Sus scrofa: one gene and its partners. The protein of the gene in region 1 interacts with the protein of each later gene in a biochemical or structural test. Links are inferred from orthologs where the notes say so. Each region holds a gene or a part of one and is shown in the gene's direction. Other genes may lie near its edges.

Evidence for each region.
Region 2: the proteins of DHX9 (region 1) and AKAP8L form a complex in vitro, tested with the Homo sapiens proteins (2 studies listed by BioGRID). The link is inferred for Sus scrofa from reciprocal best matches to the Homo sapiens genes DHX9 and AKAP8L.
Region 3: the proteins of DHX9 (region 1) and EIF2AK2 form a complex in vitro, tested with the Homo sapiens proteins (2 studies listed by BioGRID, with this or other methods). The link is inferred for Sus scrofa from reciprocal best matches to the Homo sapiens genes DHX9 and EIF2AK2.

Annotation. Positions count from the first base shown.
Region 1 is NC_010451.4:124,172,911-124,176,562, forward strand, and holds part of DHX9 (ATP-dependent RNA helicase A), read left to right. Parts: intron 1-589; coding exon 590-742; intron 743-2,661; coding exon 2,662-2,822; intron 2,823-3,623; coding exon 3,624-3,652. UniProt on the Homo sapiens protein: Multifunctional ATP-dependent nucleic acid helicase that unwinds DNA and RNA in a 3' to 5' direction and that plays important roles in many processes, such as DNA replication, transcriptional activation, post-transcriptional RNA regulation, mRNA translation and RNA-mediated gene silencing.
Region 2 is NC_010444.4:62,194,721-62,198,372, forward strand, and holds part of AKAP8L (A-kinase anchor protein 8-like), read left to right. Parts: intron 1-1,728; coding exon 1,729-1,761; intron 1,762-2,039; coding exon 2,040-2,280; intron 2,281-3,483; coding exon 3,484-3,652. UniProt on the Homo sapiens protein: Could play a role in constitutive transport element (CTE)-mediated gene expression by association with DHX9. Increases CTE-dependent nuclear unspliced mRNA export.
Region 3 is NC_010445.4:103,072,007-103,075,658, forward strand, and holds part of EIF2AK2 (interferon-induced, double-stranded RNA-activated protein kinase), read left to right. Parts: intron 1-693; coding exon 694-810; intron 811-2,947; coding exon 2,948-3,128; intron 3,129-3,652.

The DNA of each region.
Region 1 (3,652 bases):
GGTTCTATCTCGCCACCTTATGCCCCGTGTCTTCTCTGTATAGTGCCTAAGCTTGTCCTGGCAATTGAAAAATCTTTGCCCGTGCCTACTTTAGGGAATAGTGAATAGCACACAGCTCTTTCTGTGCCAATCCCAGTCGTTTGGTGCCAGCTGCCTGTGTGTAACACAGATTTTGGGGTTGCTTAGCGGGGTAGAAGAACCACGCCTTCACGATTTGGTGACGTCATCTGAAGTGCCACATATTCTCGTTTAGCTTCATAGATTCCCTGAGAGTTAAGCTAAATTCTGGAATAGAGTTGGCTTGAGTAATTACCACATGCTTAGGTGTCTGTGCCAGATTCTGTTTAAATGCTATACAGTCATTAATTCACTTAATGATTATAAATACACTATGAGGTGTAGGTAGTAGTTATTATACACACTTTCAGATGAGGAAAATGAGGCACAGAAACATGAGTAACTTGGTTGAGGTCATCTAGCTGGTAAGTGGCACGCTTTGTAGGTCTTAGTCTTTCACGTAGTGGAAATATGGTAGTTATGTGTTGATAGTGTATGTGAGTTTTACAATTAACCACTCTTTCCTAATTAGGCAAAAAGTGAAGCTGTTCACTGCTCACAACAACATGACCAATTATGCTACAGTGTGGGCATCCAAAACAAACCTTGAGCAGCGGAAAGGACGAGCTGGTCGTGTACGGCCTGGGTTCTGCTTTCACCTCTGCAGCCGAGCTCGTTTTGACAGGTACGAGCAATTCTGGAATAAAGAGTGAATTTTTTTTTTTTTTAACCTTTTACAAACAAACCTCCCTTCCTCACACTCCTTTGCCCTGCCATAAACTTCCTGAACTTAAGTGAATTGGAGGAAACTTAGCTTTCTCCAATCACTTAGCAAGATTGTGTTGAGAATGTAAAGAAATAAGAAATTATCAATGGTGGCATGTTTGATACTAGTTAACTATTTACTAATAACCTTTTAAAAGCATGATACATGTTTTCCCCGTTAAAAAGGGGGGGAAAGGATATATGGGCATAATTCTGGCACCACATAGCTTTACCACTTTGGGATTACTGATACTTATGAATTGGTTAACCATCTGAAAGATACATTAAAATAACAGTACTTTTGTATTTATAGAATTATACCACACCCCCACACCCACTGTTAGCACATCACCTCTCACATGATCCTCATGTGTCTGAGAAACAGAGGGCATTATTTAGGTAAGGAAAGCAAAGCTTAAGGAGCTTAGCCACTAATCCAGGACTGAAACCCAAGCCTGTTAATACCTTGTCCATCTCCACAGAGCCTTTGGGGGGAAGTTTTTGGATGAGACCAATTAGTTTAAAAAATCCTTAACTTTCTGAATTACAGATTTAAGGTATATATTTAGTTATATGTTTCTTGAAACCCATGTCGTATACTTAAGTTTTAACCAGTTGGTTATAGAGATAGTGTTAGGGTGTATTTGAGAGAGAGAGAGAGACTAATTTAGGTGGCCAGATGTATATAATACACTGAGGAAAAATCAAAGCTGGTTTGATTTGTTTTTATACTGATAACATATGGCTCTCTAGTAATTAATTGTAAATGTAGGTTTATTTGAGTGTCCTAAGTTAAGGCAGGAGACTGGCTGTAACATTTGGAAGATACCTGATTCTTTTTAAAGGTTGAATTGTCCTTTGAAGAAACAAGTTCTGTACTCTTAACATCTTAATGTAAAACCACCTACCAACTAGCAACACCATGAATAGATCTGTAAGGGATTTTTGTTCTTTTCTCCATAGGATGACGAATAGATAATGCCTATCTGTGTTTTTATAAACTTGATTTAAGCTAATCTAAGTCTTGCTAGCAGTGTTGGAATCCACCTCTAAATGGCTCCCATGAACCTTCGTTATGTAAATAATACATGCAGAATCATCCTGAGACTTGGATTTTAATATTTGTGCCAACTGTATCACATAACCATAAACATTTACACTCTTTAAGCCTTTGTTTCCCTATTCTACAAAAAAAAAAAATCTCTTTCCTCTTTTGAGAAAGGAAGATAGTGAAATTCTAACCACATGGGGTTTGTTTGAGAATGGAGTCAGTTATATAAAATGCTGAGAAAAAAGCTTGGCACGTATTAAGCTCTCAGTAAACATTAGCTATTATCATTGTTAATTTATATTAATAGTTTTCATTGTTAATATTTTAAAGGGTTAGATAATGTGTAAGATCTTTGCAGTGGTACTAAATTTACCTGAATGAGGAAGTGGGGGAAGAGGTTACAGGGAAATGTTAGTATGAGCTTGTATCTCCCATAAAAGGTCTTGCTACCATTTTTAACTCAAGTTTGTCAGGAGGCAGGACCTGAAGAAGCCCTAGATGGGGGTAATAACATGAGGGATTTGGGGTAATTTTTCATCCTCCTTCATTTCTCAGCTGAAAATACCTCAAGCTGTAAGTGAAGTCATAAGCCACTACTCAGTTAAGGTCTTGTCTAGAGAGCCTTTGTAGGAAATATGCAATGTTCTTTGGTGATTTAAAAGGATAAGGGAGGGGCAATTTCATATCCCTGATCATCTCTACAAAATTTGAGTGTACACAAGAGAAGATGGTTGTTTTACACTTAACTTTTTTTCTTTTTCTCTTTTTTTTTTTCAACTTTTTCTTAGACTCGAGACCCACATGACACCAGAGATGTTCCGAACACCATTGCATGAAATTGCTTTGAGCATAAAACTTCTGCGTCTGGGAGGAATTGGCCAGTTTCTGGCCAAGGCAATTGAACCTCCACCTTTGGATGCTGTGATTGAAGCGGAGCACACACTTAGAGGTACCTGCAAATACAGACCTGCCTAATACTTACCAGTTATATCATCTGTCTTATCCTGACAAATAACACTTAACAAATGAGTCAAGAAGAGGATACAGTCCACAGGGCTATGATAATAAGGTTTTCAATGTTGCTTAATGTACATGGTATGGTCAGAATATAAAATGAGCAACATAAATGAAGAAAGAGATAATGTGAATCTTATTTGGGGGGGGGAAATGGAGAAAAGACAGGTGTTCTCTCGTAACCAGTATTTTATGGATCAGAATATGAATTACTTATGATACCCAGTGTCTTATGTACATCTCTTAGAACATCTGTTTATGTTTTCTGATCACTTATGGAAGCACTGTAGTATAGTAGAAAATAAGAGCATCGGAGCCAACGAAGAACCTGAATTTGAATTTTGACTCTTGTGCTCATCTGCTTTGAGACTTTTATTCTCCAAATTTCATTTCTTTCTGAAAATTATCAACGGATGTTATCAGACTTATAGCATCTACCTACTTAGGCCACTGTTATACTTATTTCTGTGATTATAGACTTCTCATGGACTGTACTCAGCTTTACACCCAATAGGATTTAATTCTAGTACCTTTTTCATGTTAGGTGTTCTTGAATTTGGTTTTTTTAGTGAAGAGAATTGTTGGCCACAGGCGTGGCGCTGGCAGTTGGCTTGACAATTGATGACAACTTCAGTGCAGTATCCAAACCTTAATCTATAAAGAAATGTTTCATCTTTGCTTAGGTTAAAGGGATGTTCATAACTGTTTCTGCTCACAAAGAAATATCTCCCTACAGAACTTGATGCATTAGATGCCAATGATGAG
Region 2 (3,652 bases), on another chromosome or scaffold:
AATCTGACTAGTATCCATGAGGATGCAGGTTCCATCCCTGGCCTTGCTCAGTGTGTTAAGGATTTAGTGTTGCCGTGAGCTGTGGTGTAGGTCAGAGATGCAGCTTGGATCTGGTGTTTCTGTGGCTGTGTTGTAGGCCAGCAGCTATTGCTCCGATTCAACCCCTAGCCTGGGAACTTCCATATGCTGCAGGTGAGGCCTTAAAAAGACAAAAACAAAACAAAATAAAAAGGACCCCCCCAAAAAAGAAAGAAAAGCTTCGTATACCACTCCCTTCTTATGTGATTTCCAGCCCTTGCTGCTCTCTTATTTCCTGCCTCCTTTAATAGCAGTGCTCTGGGTCTGAGGAGTGCCCAGGACTGCCACACTTTGTTCTGTTTGCTCTGAGGATGGTAATTGTCGAATAAAGGAATAAGAAGCCCCTGCTTTTGGTTTCCACAGCTGAAGAAGATTTTTGCTTTGTGAGCTCTAGCATGCCTGTGGTTCATTAGAATAGTGACCAAAGTTCCTCGCTGTTTTCCAATGCCTCTCCATTCATTTGTGTACCTGATTGAGGAGGAACTTGAGTGTAGAACCTTGACTGACCCACTGTCCCCATCCCCATTTGCTCTGGTTCATATTCTCAGTGTATGAACTCTTGCTTTCCTGTGGCTGGATTCTATTTTTCATCTCACTGCCATCTCACTGAGGTTTGGTCCCTGCCCTAGGATTAGCATGGCCTATCTGTCTGCAGGGCAGGAACAGTGTGGAGTAGATGACTCTGGGGGTCCCATCAGACACTGGGAAGGTGGTGACCTGTTCTTATGGACTCCTTCTGGAAGAATCATGTCTGCTTGACTCAGAGTTCCCACTTGTTTTTTTGCAGTTTGTTAGTTTTCAGTGGCTTTATGTTTCTGAAGGAATGAATTTTCCTTATGTGTCTGATAAAATTCAAAACATATTTAGTTTATAATCCTGATTGTTCTCTTAACAGCTTTTTTCAAGCTGAGAGTGGTATCTTGTCTTTCCCTCTACTTATGTGTTCCAAGCACACTCACACAGTTCACGGGCTTGGTGGTGTTTCTCCATGTTTTGGGGATTTTTTGTTTCTGTTTTTGGATTCCCCCCCCTCCCCCAGCTGTGCTTGTGGCATGTGGAAGTTCCCTGGTCAGGAATTGAACCTGCACCACAGGAATGACTCAAGCCACTGCAGTGACAATACAGGATCCTTAACCTATATGCCACAAAGGAACTCCTGGTTCTTCCTATTAAGTTAAACATTTGTGGGACTAGGGCAGTCAGTTTCTCTGCTCCAGATAACTTTGTTGGGTGATTTGATTGACAGAGTTTGAGTGGGTATGAGCTCTGTGCTGAGCTTCTTGTACAGCATAGAGTGTATGAGGCATTGGAAACTGCTCTCCTCTTCCTCAGATTGGTACTTAGCTGGGAGCAGGAATAATCTTCCAATTTAGGCTCTTCAAAGAAAGAGTATAGGCGCCAAATTCCTTAGCTGAGAATGCTGGGAATGGGGGGTTCATAAATAGCAGAGTGTCAGAGCCATGCAAAGTCAGGCACCAGGGCAACAAGTGGCCTGGCTCATTTATGTAGCGCAAGCTCAAGGCTTCTTAGTTAGGCGAGGCTTAGTCTCTAACCAGTCAGGTGCTGGGAATCATTGTCTTTGTGTCTGAATTGAATTCTTGTTGCATTTATAAGCAATTATAGATGTAATTTCTCTTTTACTTTTTATAGGATATGGAACTTGGAACTCTGGGACAAACAGAGGCAAGTATCATTCCCATAATCACTCTCCTTTTCCTTGGGATTAAACTGATTGAGTGTTTCTGCCACTGCCCAGCCTAGTTAAAGTTGCAGGGTGGGGGTTGTCTTTGGGGGTCCTGGGTGCACTGGGGCCAGCAATTCCTTCACAGGAGGCCTTTTCAGAATGGCGATGGCCCACCCAGCTTGTCTCTGACCAAAAATGTCCTGTCTCTTGTGTTTGTTTCTCTGTCTCCTCGCCCCCTCCATCTTGTCTGTCTCTCTTTCTGTCCCCCTCATTGCAGGCTACGAGAACTATGGTTATGGCTATGGCTATGGCCAGGATAACACCACCAACTATGGGTATGGTATGGCCACTTCAAACTCTTGGGAAATGCCTAGCTCTGACACAAATGCAAACCCTAGTGCCATGGGTAGTGCCAGTGCCGATTCCGTTTTGTCCAGAATTAACCAGCGCTTAGATATGGTTCCGCACTTGGAGACAGATGTGATACAAGGAGGCGTGTACAGCTCAGGTGGAGAAAGGTGAGTGGGCATCTACCTGCCTAGGGGTTGAGGCTCTGCCGGGTCACCTCCTGTCTCTTGTTCCCTGGTGTCTTCCTCTTCTGAACTATCTCTTGTGTCTACTTTTTTCTTTGCTCTGCTGCTGGGGTTTCCCAGAGACTGCTTGGGGTCCAAGGCACTTCCCTTCTCTGGCCTGTGTCCTCTTCTCCCTCCATTCTCCTGCATTGCCCAGTGGTGAGCCTCTCCTCCAGCTTATAGAGGGAGAAACAAGCCCAGACTGGGCTGGTTTCACTGAATCCTCCCATTTCACTCTTCTCAGGAACATTGTTAAATGGCTCCTCCCTCTGGAGACAACCATTTGAAGCTCTCGAGATACTTTGCATCCTGCCTTCTGTCAGGGCAGGACAGATTGGGTTGAGTGTAAAGGTTGGAGTGAACCTTTGGGGCTGACCATAGTGAGCTGGACCATCCCATATAAGGGTACCCTTTGGTGACTTATAAATGTGTACTTGTTGAACATCAGAAGTGTTCCTGTGAGGAACTGTTGATGTCCTCACTATGCAGATGGGGAAAGTAAAGTGTGGGCAGGTCACACCTCTTGCCCAAAGGTACCCAGGAGTAAATAGTGGAGATGGGCCTCCCACTCAGATCTGCCCTGCCCCACAGCATCATGCTGTAGGCATTTGTCATTGTCCAAACTGCTGCTGGCCCAGGCGTTCTTGTGCCCTAGTGAGAGGTTTCAGTGAAGAGGGCATCTCTTGGCACAGCCATGAGGGGAGCAACCTCATGGCTCCAACTGACAGGGAAGAGCAGAGAGTAAGGAGGGACCTGGCCAGGCACTGGTGGGGCCAAGTGAGGCCCCAGGACCACTAGGGGGCAAAGAGTGCCAAGGGGACTTTTGCGTGCATGGGCTCTGTAGCAAGCAAAAAGTGTTGAGGAGTGGGACGTGCCTACCCAGCCTACCCCTTGCCCTTAGGGTCTTCAAGCTGGTGTGTGGCCTCATGCAGGCTTGGGGACACTGGCCGAGAGCCCTTTCTGGCTTCTAGAACTCTGTTCCTCAGAGACCTTTTAATTTGCATATCTGAACATTGATCCTTTCTGACAGGATGGGTGTTGGAGTGGGTCTTCCTATCCCCAGGACAACGAGGTTTAGGGGAAGGCAGAGGCAGTAATAGGATGATGGGACCTGAGATCGTCCCTGATGCTTGCCACCTGCCTCTGCAGATATGATTCCTACGAGGCCTGTGACTCAAGGGCTGTCCTGAGCGAGCGTGATCTGTACCGGTCAGGCTATGACTACGGCGAGCTTGACCCTGAGATGGAAATGGCCTACGAGGGCCAGTACGATGCCTACCGCGACCAGTTCCGCATGCGTGGCGGCGACACCTTTGGC
Region 3 (3,652 bases), on another chromosome or scaffold:
GCTCAGATTATCTGCTCTTAATACCCAAATGGGGTTTGCTTATGAAATCCAACGTGATGTTAACATAAGTCTAAACAAAACGTAATAGATGAGTTAGCTCCAGAAAAAAAAAAAAATCACTGGCAGTTCACAGACTACTACAAATGACTTTTAAATCACCTAATGTTTGGAATAATTTGTCATTGCTTTTTCTTTTCTCTCACTTTTTTTTTTTTTTTTTTTTTGGTCTTTTTTGTCTTTTTAGGGCCACACCTGAAGCATATGGAGGTTTCTAAGCTAGGGGTCTAATCAGAGCTACAGCCGCTGGCCTACGCCAAAGCCACAGCAACACGGGATCTGAGCCGCATCTGCGACCTGCACCACAGCTCACAGGAACTCAGATCCTTAACACACTGAGCGAGGCCAGGGATCAAACCTGCAACCTCATGGTCCCTAGTCGGATTCATTTCCACTGCGCCACGACGGGAACTCCTGCTTTTTCTTTTATTGCTGAGAGTGAGATCAGCTGTGCTTTTTCTGTGTTCACTTTTTCCTTTTGAGTATTCCTGGCTTCCATTCTAAAACTCAGAGTATGTGAACCATGGCAGCCGTTTGAAGGAAATGCAGGTAGTTGTCTCCTGTTGGTAGAGATGTTTTTTTGTTGTTATCAAAGATGTATACTGACCCAGGTATGTTCTCTGTTTCTTTAACCAGGAAGGTAGAGCGTGAAGTGAAAGCTTTGGCAACGCTTAAACATCCAAATATTGTTCTCTACTACGGTTGCTGGGATGGGAATGATTATGATCCTGAGCAAAGCATGAATACTTTAAGGTAACTAAAAAGAGATGCCCATAACTATAATAGGATGGAAGAAACTGTCCTTTACTGTTTGTGGGTCACCACATATGGCCATTAATTCTTACATTTAACAATCACAACTAGAAACATCCTTTGAGGCACTATTTTGACTTGATCTGCAGTTAAGCAGACTCTTCATTGCCTGCTTAATAATCTTTTCCTTGCTCATCTCGTTGCTCCAAGCTTCCTTTAAAAAAAAAAAGTTTTTCAGTTGTCCTCAGCTGTTTTCAGAAATCTCAGGTTTAGCTTTCCTACTCCCTTGTTTAAGGTGAGGGCTTGCTCATGTGCCTGACTTCAGTCACTGCCAGCCATAAAAGCAGACATGGCCATAAATACAGACTCCTGAAGGTTTGAATGTGCTGTTCATGCTATACATGCTGCAATTGGAGGCTCCCTCTTCTGCTGTTGTCCCCTTCACTTGATTGGCGGGGTGCAGCCAGGGGTCTCTTTTTTTTTTTTTTCTTTTTCTTCTTTTTATGGCCATACCTGCAGCATATGGAAGTTCCCAGGTAAGGAGCCTCAGCTGCCAGCCATAGCATCACCTGATCAGAGCCACATCTGCTACTTATGCGTAGTAGCTTGGGGGCAGTGCTGGTTCTTAACTCGCTGAGTGAGGCCAGCGGCTATGTCATGTTCTTAACCTGCTGAGCTGCAATAGGAAGACATCCCAGGGGGTGTCTTTCAAATGCAGCTGCACCACTTATAGTGGGGTGGTGAGGAGTGAAAAGAATTGGGGACCTTGAGCTGTGATGGGGGGCACCCCACCTTGCAATACTCCTGTTTTGTCTGAGGTGAGTCAATGCAAAAGAGCTAAAGGGTTTTAAAGAGCTGGCACCTCCCTGTGAAGGTCACCAGCGTTTCCAGGGGACAGTCCTTTCAGTGCAGTCCTGAGGCCACTCTGGGCCTGTTCATTCACAGGCTCCTGACTCCAGCCCTGTCTCCACCCCATGTAATTGAGACCTTTATCATTGGTTTCAGGAGTGCTGTCAGCATACAGACTTCTTCAGCTTTTGGCAAATTACTGGCTCCCTCTTTTCTATATTCTAGTCAATATATGCTCAAAGAAGTTAAATTAATATTGAGGCCAGCTTAGTTCAGAGGAAAAAAAAAAAAAACTGCATGATTAGCAAAGTCAGTCCTCTCTGTTATATCTCATGGCAATCTGTTGGCACTTCTGTTAGGATTCCTATGCTTGAACTGTTATTTTAGGTTTATTTTTCCTTTATCTGTCTCCTGTCATCCTCATGACAGCAAGAATAGTGTCTAATTCATTTCTTATCTTGAGGTGCCTGTTCTGTGCCTTTCACAAAAGAGATGTTCAGTAGACCAATGGTGAATTAAAATGTTTTGAAATTACTGTATATAATAATGAAATTTGGTTTTCTGCAGTTCCATTGTATTTATGCTCCTATTCCTATCTATTAGCAAAGATAATCATGGTCCTTCAGCTTTAAAGAATGGGCTTAGCTAAAGAAATCTTTGGATGTCTGGGAACTTACGATTTAAACAAAGAATGGCTTATTATGTTTTGATTCAAATCTATTATTGTTAGATTTCTGTTTTGAGACCTGTTTGGTATTTTTAAGAAGATAAAGTTCCTAACATTTTTTTTTCTGTCTTTTTATGGCTGCTCCCGAGACATATGGAAGTCCCCAGGCTACGGGTAGAATCAGAGCTGCAGCTGTCCGCCTACGCCATAGCCACAGCAATACCAGATCCACGCCTTGTTTATGACCTGCTCCACAGCTCATGGCAGCACCGGATCCTTAATCCACGGAGCAGAGCCAGGGATCGAACCCACATCCTCATGGATACTAGTCAGGTTCGTTTCCGCTGAGCCACAATGGGATCTCCAACAATTTTTTTTTTTTTTTTTTTTTTTTTTTTTTTTTTTTGTGCCTCACTCACAGTATGTGGAAGTTCCAGGGATTGAACTTCCAGGCCAGGAATTGAACCTTTGCCACAGTAGCAACCCAAGCTGCTTCAGTGGCAGTGCTGGATCCTTAACGTACTGTACCACAAGAGAACGCCTAAAAATGTATTTTTAAGTGTATTTTTTATATATTTATTTTTATTGCTAAATCTAACATCCTGTGAACTATATACCCAGATCAAAGACAAGGTGCCTTTTCATCCAAATGGAATACTGTGATAAAGGGACATTGGAACAATGGATTGACAGCCAAAGAAACAAGGAACCAGATAAATGTTTGGCTTTGGAATTCTTTGAACAAATAACAACAGGAGTGCATTATATACATTCAAAACAGTTAATTCATAGAGACCTTAAGGTAAGCGGAAAATGTCCTTTGTTAGGAATTGATAATTAATTTAAAAGTCTGTTTTGGAATTGATTGGCAGTCATGAGAAAATAACATCTCTGATCCTCTGAGGTTGGAATAGATCTAGAACTTGCCGCAAATACCAGTCTGTAGAACCACTCAGAAGGTCTCCAGGGCTAGTAAACTTTTTGGGACAGTGAGCTCTATAGAAAGAAGCTCATTCACTTCTAGTCCTATTTTTTGTACTGGCTGATAGTTACACCCTAGTTGTAAACACTTATAGCTTTAATATACTAAATATTTCCGTACAGATAATTACTGTGGCTGGCACAGCCTGTTGGCTGCTCTGTCCCTGCCTCTACTGCTACTCAGGTTCGTCTGAGCAGCACAAGCGACTCCAGTGACGGGGGCTTTGGGAACATGGTTCTCCAAGTTTTCAGTCTTTACTCTTGAGGCGGTCACAGCTTTTTAGGTCCAAAGTCTAGAATTTTCTTGGCATTTGGTTAGACATCTGTGCCTCACAATTGGAAATT